Linked DNA regions of Notamacropus eugenii. The protein of the gene in region 1 binds, or shares a complex with, the protein of each later gene. Links are inferred from orthologs where the notes say so. Each region holds a gene or a part of one and is shown in the gene's direction. Other genes may lie near its edges.

Region 1 (3,916 bases):
TGATTTGGGTTTAAGGCATGGTCCTTAAGAAAGAAATCTAGCCTGTAAACCCCAAGATGTCTTAGAAGGTTTCAGCAATCAAAATTTATATTCCTTTGCACAAGCACCAGCAGGTAAGGATATGTATGACACCCTATGTGGAAAGGCAAGGCAAGGATTTGACCTAGTAGAGAATGAGGAAATAGGAAGGAAAAAAAACCCTGCATCTCTCCAATAATTGGTTATTTAGTTATCATTTCTCTCAGTAGTGTAAAAAGAGCACTTAATTAAAAATAAAAAAAGATTCGGGCTCACCTGATCACTTGGACTTAAAAAATGTGTGACCTTGGGCAAGTCACTTAAAATGGGGATCGCAACATTGTTAATGGATGCTTGTAAATTGTTAAGGATAAAGAGAGGGACTAGATCTTTGCTATTTCATTGGTACAGGGAACTCCAACAAGAGCAAACTCTCTCAACTGATGCTGGACAGCACCATCTCGGCAACTTAATCAACATACATCAAGGGTTCTTAACTTGGGGGTCCATGAACTTGCTTTTGAAAAATATTTTGATTTCAACACTAGTTTCCTTTCTATGCCTGTATATTTTATTTTATGCATTTAAAAACATTCTGAGAAGAGTTCCAAAGTCTACGCCAGGCTGCCAAAGGAGTCCATTTGTTTTACTTGACTATGATGGTTGCAAGGGCTGGGCTTTTTAAACTGCAAAACAAGAAAAGAGAACCTTTAAAAGCTCCTTCTTTAATAAGATTATCTCTACTTTGTCCTGTATTTTCTTTGTAAGCTGTTTGTCCTCTCTCCCATTTGACTCGGGAGAGTGAGTCTGTTTTTGGTTTTATTTTGCTTTTCTTTGTCTCACACAGTGCTTGGCATACAGTAGGCGCTTAATAAATGCTTGTTGTCTTGACCCTTGGTATATATATATATATATACACACACACACATATATATACACACACATATGTGTACACATATATATATATTCCCTGTACCAATGAAATCGCAAAGATCTAGTCCCTCTCTATCCATTCACACACACACACACACACACACACACACAGTGAGTTATTAAGCGTCTTCTCCAGGGTCACCCTGTCAGGACGTGTCACAGGTGGGACTCGAACCCAGGCCTTTCCTAGCGTTGAGGCCGGCACTCCCAGCCACCGCACCGGGCTGCTTCTCTAAGGCGTTACATCAGTTAAGGTTGGTTGGTGGGTCCAGCCCCGTCATCTGAACACAAGGAAACTGAGGTCCTAAAAGAGGGTCGGGAACAGAGGCTGGGGGACTTTCGGCTCCAAGCGGCCGCTGGGCCGAGCCAGTCCGCAGGAGTGCGCCAGACGAGCCCTTTCCGCAGGGTCTCCCTGCCCAGGGGCTGACAAATGGTTAGCGTAATAACCGGCCCCTAGCCGCAGTCCCGACCCGAGTGTGCCACCTCCACGTGCGGTCTCCCGAGCCACAAGCCCCACCCCCACGGGACCTCGAGGCCGGGGATTGGCTACACGGGACAGGGGGCGGGGCTCACTCCAGGCTGACGTGATGGCGTCATCAGCGGCCGGAGCAGCTTCCTGTTTTCTCTGCCCGGGAGGCCGCAGCTTCCGGTCAGAGGCGCAAGGGTAGAGTCTGGAGGCAGTTCTAGTGCTCTTCGTCTACCCTGAGGTGAGTCTGGGGTCCCCGTGAGGCAGCGGTCGGGGATGGAGGGAACTCAGACCGGGTCCCAGAGAAGGTCCGTGTCCCAGACCCCCCATCCCGCTTGCCCCTCTCGCCCCCCTCCCGGACCCTCCTCCAGGACCCCCCGGGCCGTCCCCGCACGCCCGTGCCCTTGCCCCCACCTGACGCTCGTCCCCACCACGCCCCCTCCCCCAGATTTCCCACCCTGGACCGGCCTCCCTGCCCCCTAGCCCATCACCACCTCCTCACCGCGATCCCTCCCTTCAGCTCTCTTAAGCCCTCGGCTCCCCCTTTCCCACGTCTTCCTCCTTCCCCTGCTTCAGCCCCCCCCCAACTCTTCCCGCTAATGCGTCCCCTCGAGGCTTTCTGCCCGACCCGTCAGACCCCCCCGTTTCAGCCTCCGAACCTGACCCGCCACACACGGTTCTCCACTCTCCCATTCAGATCACTCCATCGCCAAGCATTTATTAAGCGCTAAGCGCCGGGGTACCGTGGGGGGAGGGGGCACGCAGAGGCCGGCCTTCCTCTGGAGGAGTTCGCGTTCTAACGGGGAGATGGACGCAGAGGCGCCTGCTTCGGGGGGCTGGGGCTGGGCTGGGCTGGGCAGGACAGGACAGGACTGGGCTGGGAAGCCCCCGTGCAGGGGCAACTTGAGGAGTTCCAGGAGGCTGAGGTGAGAAGGCACAGAGACGGGCCCTTCGGCTTGGACTGTGGGCTTGGTGGAGTGGGGCAGCTGATGGATTGGACATGTGGGACAGGGGAGGAGGAGAGGATGACATCGAGCTTGGGAGCTTGGGTGATCGGAATGTAGTGATGCCCTCTCCAGGAAAAGGCAAGTTTGGAGGGGGGCGCCTTTTTGGGGTAAAGGTAATGACCAAAGCCACCTAGGTGGCATGGTGGATAGGACTGGATCTGGAGTTCAGATCCTGCCTCATGCTTGCCATATAACTCTGGGCAAGTCAGTTAACCTCCGTGTCCTCATCTGTCAAATGTGGATGACAGTAGCACCTTTTCTCATAGGGTTCTTGTGGCCCATGTGAATGCTAGCTATGATTAACGTAAGAAAAATAGGAAGATTAAAAGAGACCAGGTTATAGAGAATTAAATGCCAAATCGGGTGTTGTATTTGATCCTAGAAGTCGTAAGAAGTGAAGAATTTGGGGACTTTGGGATAGGGCAGTTATATGATCAGACCTGCACTTTAGAAAAATCACTTTTAACAACAGTATGGAGAGGGGAGAGAAGTGAAGCAGGGAGACTCATTAGAAAGTACTGCAATATTTTTTCAAGTAAGAGGTGATGAAGGGCTGAACTTGTGTGGTGCTTGTGAAAAAAGGAGGGGGGTGTCTTATGCCTGAGATGCTGTGTGGATAGAGATAACAGATTTTGTTAGTTGATTGGATATAAGAGGGTGAGTGAGAAGGAGGGAGTCTAGCATGACATTGGGGCAGCTAGGTGATCCAGTGGATAGAGTGCCAATCCTGGAGTCAGGAGGACTCATCTGAACTCAGGAAGATCTGGCCTCAGACACTTCCTGACTGTGTGACCCTGGGCAAGTCACTTAACCCTGTTTGCCTCAGTTTCCTCCTCTGTAAAATGAGCAGGTGAAGGAAATGACAAACCACTCCAGTACCTTTGCCAAGAAAATCCTCAATATGGTCACTAAGAGTTAGGCACAACTGTATAGACTGAAAAATAACAACAAAAGCGTGGCATTGAGGTTGCAAACCTGGGTGACATGAAGGATGGTATTGCCCTGTACAGTATTAGGGCAGTTCAGAAAAGAAGTCGTTTTGAGAGAAAAGAGAAACAATTCTATTTTGGGCTTGTTGAATTTGAGCTCCAGTTCAAAATATCTAATAGGTGGTGTAGTAGAAGGTCTAGGACTATCGGGTGTGTGTGTGTGTGCGTGCGTGCGTGCGTGTATTTATCTGCATATAGATAATAATTGAACTCATGTGAGCTGAGGGATCACCAAGTGAGTATAAAGAAAAAAAAACTTAATGTACAACCACACTTACTGGATTTGACTTCGATAAAAATCCAGTAGACAGATTTGTGTGATATATTGAAACTGTCAGACTGTCAGTGGAAAGAACCAAGAGAGAATAGGAAAACAGAAAGTTCAAGGAAAGAATATCTAGGAGAGGGTAGTCAGCAGCAGTGCCAAATGTTTCAGAGGAGTTTAAAGGGGGTTGGTCTTTTTTTGGTCCAGACTCCCCACCTCTTACTTAGCCCTGCTCCTG
Region 2 (3,916 bases), about 55 Mb from region 1:
AATAAGCTGGAGAAGGAAATGTCTAATCACTCCAGTATCTGCCAAGAAAACCCCAAATATGGTCACAAAGAAGGACATGGCTGAAATGACTGAACAACAAATTTGTAGGGCACTGAGTTAGTAACTTATGATGCAAAGATGAATCAGACATGATTTCTTCTCTCAGGATGGTTGTAGTCTAATAGGAGAGAAGGGATATGTATACAAATATCTCTAATACTTCCTACTAACATTACAAATATAGATATGGATAAGTACATAGGAAGGATTCAAAGATTGCATAAAAGAGTAAAGCAAGAGAGGTATCCCTTTCACCTACAGAGAATAAGGAAACGCTTTAGGGGGACCCAGGCCAGAATTATACCTTTATGGTTGAAAATGATTTCAACAGGTAGAGTTAAAAAGAATTAACTAAAAGCACAAGGGATGCTATAAGAAAAGAGATAGGAAAGGACTGGATCTAGTAAGGGAGTGACAAGTGGGTCAGTTTGGCTAAAGGATAAAGTTAATTACAAGGAGAAATCTAACATGAGACTGGTAAGGTAGGTTAGAGTACAGTGTGAACCTCTAAGGAGTTTAGACTTTATGTTAAAAAGCAGTAGAGAGTCATTAAAGATTTTTTGAGTACGGAGTAACATGATTTGAAGAAGACTTTGACAATGGGATATTTATATGTTTTTATAACATAATTAAGGTAACAACTGTATATTTAAAGCAAGGGGAAAAACTAAGGCAGAAGGATCAGTTAGGAGGTTATTGAAATATTCCCACCAGTAAAGTAACAAAGAATGCAACTGGGCTGGTAACACTGTGAAGGATAAGATTAAGAGAGATGCAAAAGACCTGGAGTAGGAAATGACCACTGATGAGATGCAGGTGTTGAAGAGAGAGGAGTCAAAGGTGGTTTTTGAGTTTGAAACCTGAGAGACGAGTAAAAGGTACTACTAACTAACTCAGCTTCTTCGTCTATAAAATAGGGAATCTTGGGAATAATGTTTGTCTTCCATCTCTTATGACATCTATCCCTCAGTAGGATTCTATGAGGGGGAAATGATATGCTAAAGTCAAGAACAAATTCAAAATAGAACTTTGCTGTAACACTTGATTCTAGGTCAGAATTCAGTATAATGCAGATCAATCTTGGACTCCCCCCAAGAGGACATAGTTACGGAAATACCCAAAGAGCTTTAGTATGAGGAATTTTCACCTCTGAAGAATTTCATGGAATAGGCTAGGTAGGAAGATAGTGGTATAAGGATGCCTTCATTCCTTTAGCCGTAAAGGGGAAAATGTTCTCTGATAATGAGCAAAGCAACTTTGGACTTGCTCTGACTAACAAAACAGACCCACTTTTCCATTCCCATCTGTGAGGCTGACCTCTACTTCACAGGCTGTGGGTTTGGGTTGTGAGGGGTGGGGGGGAAAAGGGGAGGGGGAAAACATGATGTCACACCCAGGACTATATAAGGTACTTCATTAGGCTCTTGCAGACAGTTTGAAAGCAGCTGGAGAAAAAGAAATAGCACAGCCCTTCATTACTGGGGAATTTAAAAATTTACATTAAGTCAATCCTCACAGAAAACCTGTTGAATAAAATGCAACCTCAGCAGAAAAGTCAATCCATTCGACCTTTCAAGCAACGGAAAAGCTTAGGTACAACTAAGGGGGATCCTCCTAGGAGAGGAGAGGTGGGGAACGAGGGGAAAGGATGGATACAGACCTCATTTCATTTGTTTGATTAACTCTTCGTGTGCCATTACAGCAATCAGAAAAGAGGAAGTTGCTGGGATCCGGGAAAAGTTCCCAAGCAAGATACCGGTAAGGAGGTCCCTGTGGTAGAAGGTGGGTGGGATAATGGTACTGTCTTGAGCCGTGATCAATAAAGTATTGGAACAACCACAGGGCCCCGTGATACACTCTCCCACTAACTCCCACCTGGACTCAGTGATTCCAGGCAAGCGATCTTGTTCAGTTCCACTCAGAAGGGAGCAATTGGCTTTGCTTCAATTTATGTTTAAACGTTTTAACAGGTGATAGTTGAACGTTATCAGAAGGAGAAATACCTTCCCCCGCTGGACAAAACCAAATTCCTCGTTCCCCAGGAGCTGACCATGACTCAGTTTCTAACTATCATTAGGTAGGTGGCAAAACTAGAGACACCGTTCTGTAGGTACGGGAGGGGTGGGAGGAGTCAGGGAGAAGAGCTTCTCTTGGACTAGCTCTGGGAGGGGGAGTCTGTCTGTGATTCACCCTTTCTCTTCAGGGTGGCCAGGAAATGTTGAACTGGTGCTTAACCTCTTGGAGTATCCTAGCTTGGAGAGCCCCAGCCTGATAGAGCTAAAGTGAGCATTACTTGAGTTATCCTAAAGTCACAGGTGCTTTTTTTTTTAATCACCTGAGAAGCCTTTTATTCCCTCCTTTTGGAATTTATTCCAGAATTTAAAAAGAAGCTATCCAGAGCTTAGTGCAAAAAAGCCTAGTTTCAAGTCACTCTGACTTTATGAATTAAAAATTCATGACTACTCACTGTGTACTCTGTCTCCCTCTGTGTCTTTGTACATATCTCTGTATGTCGCTGTGTCTTTTTGTTTCTATGTGTTTTCTCTGTATATGTCTTTGTGTGTCTCTGTTGACATGTGTCTGTGTCTCTGTACATGTCTCTGTGCCTTTCTGTGATTTAGTATGACTGTCCTTTTCTTTGTCTCTGTGTCTCAAAAAAAAACAAAAACAAAAACAAATCCAGAGCAGCTTGGAGTAGGAGTACCTGCTACCTCCACTATCTTCCCTCTTACGTCCTCCACCAGCAAAATAGGATAGAATTGAAGGAACAGGACAGAAAATTGCCTTCTGGAAACCAAACATAAAGAGGTAGAATTGGAGCATTGGATCATAGAGCTCTAGCTGGAATGGAGCTAGTAAGCCATCTAGTTCAATCCCCACATTTTACCGATGAGGAAACTGAAGTTCAAAGAGGCTAGCTGGCTTGTCTGAAACCATACCCAGAGTGAGCATCAGAGTTAGGGGTTGAAAACAGCTCCTCAGACTTGAGAGACAGTGCCTGTTCCAATGACCCAAGCTGCCTTGCCTATCCATCAATCAGGCAACATTTATGAAGCACCTACTGTGTATCAGGCACTGTGCTAAGCACATCATCACCTAACATATGGATTCAATAAAAAGTATTTGGAGCTAAAAATAGATGTCTAAGAGCTAAGTAACTATGATTTACTGTATAATTCTCCACCAAAACAAAAAAAAAAAAGGAAGCTAGGGACTTTCCTTGGGGAGTTTTGTAACTTAAATAAGCTGTTTCTCCCTACATCTCATTTGGTGATCATTGCTTAAGCATCTATTATGTTGGAGGCACTCAACCAAGCAGCTGGTGCTACAAGGATGATTCCATGATAGCCTGGGCCAAAAAGTTTACCAAGGAGTAACAGGACCATGTGTACACACATAAGTGTAATGTAAGGCAGAATGTGACAGTAATTTCTTCTACAGTTATCTTCCTTGTACTTTGTAGATTGAAATGCTTACATGAATCAAAGATGGTTAAATTCATAACAAGACATTTTTATGTGAATATACCATAAACGAGTTCAAGAAAATTAAGAAGAGAAGAACATTCCTACCTTTATTTTTGGAAGGTAGAAATCTTATTGACAAGACTTTTTTTTCCTTAGTATAGTCCTCCATACTGTATTTTTCTCTATTCTTGTCATGGAAGTTACTGTGCTGAAACCATCCCTATGTTAATTGGGAGGAAACAGAAGGTGAACAATTAGACTTTTTTTTTTTTTTTAACACTAGGTCTCCCTGTCTCACCCAGACAGTAAGTGCAGTGGCCAGTGATGAACTGACCTGCTGTTAATTGGTACTGAAATTTTGACTTGCCATGTTTTTTCCACCTAGGTGG

The links.
Region 2: the proteins of PLEKHM1 (region 1) and MAP1LC3C are in contact, whole or in part, in a crystal structure (PDB 5DPW), measured with the Homo sapiens proteins. The link is inferred for Notamacropus eugenii from reciprocal best matches to the Homo sapiens genes PLEKHM1 and MAP1LC3C. Residues at the interface, in NP_055613.1 of Homo sapiens: Glu632, Asp633, Glu634, Trp635, Val636, Asn637, Val638, Gln639, Tyr640; in NP_001004343.1 of Homo sapiens: Phe13, Arg16, Lys17, Glu25, Ile29, Phe33, Lys36, Pro38, Asp54, Lys55, Thr56, Lys57, Phe58, Leu59, Val60, Pro61, Glu63, Leu64, Ile72, Arg76, Phe114.

Annotation. Positions count from the first base shown.
Region 1 is NC_092873.1:348,256,778-348,260,693, forward strand, and holds the start of PLEKHM1 (pleckstrin homology domain-containing family M member 1), read left to right. Parts: upstream 1-1,569; 5' UTR 1,570-1,658; intron 1,659-3,916. UniProt on the Homo sapiens protein: Acts as a multivalent adapter protein that regulates Rab7-dependent and HOPS complex-dependent fusion events in the endolysosomal system and couples autophagic and the endocytic trafficking pathways.
Region 2 is NC_092873.1:402,776,130-402,780,045, reverse strand, and holds the start of MAP1LC3C (microtubule-associated protein 1 light chain 3 gamma), read left to right. Parts: upstream 1-1,432; 5' UTR 1,433-1,595; coding exon 1,596-1,653; intron 1,654-1,762; coding exon 1,763-1,818; intron 1,819-2,030; coding exon 2,031-2,137; intron 2,138-3,916.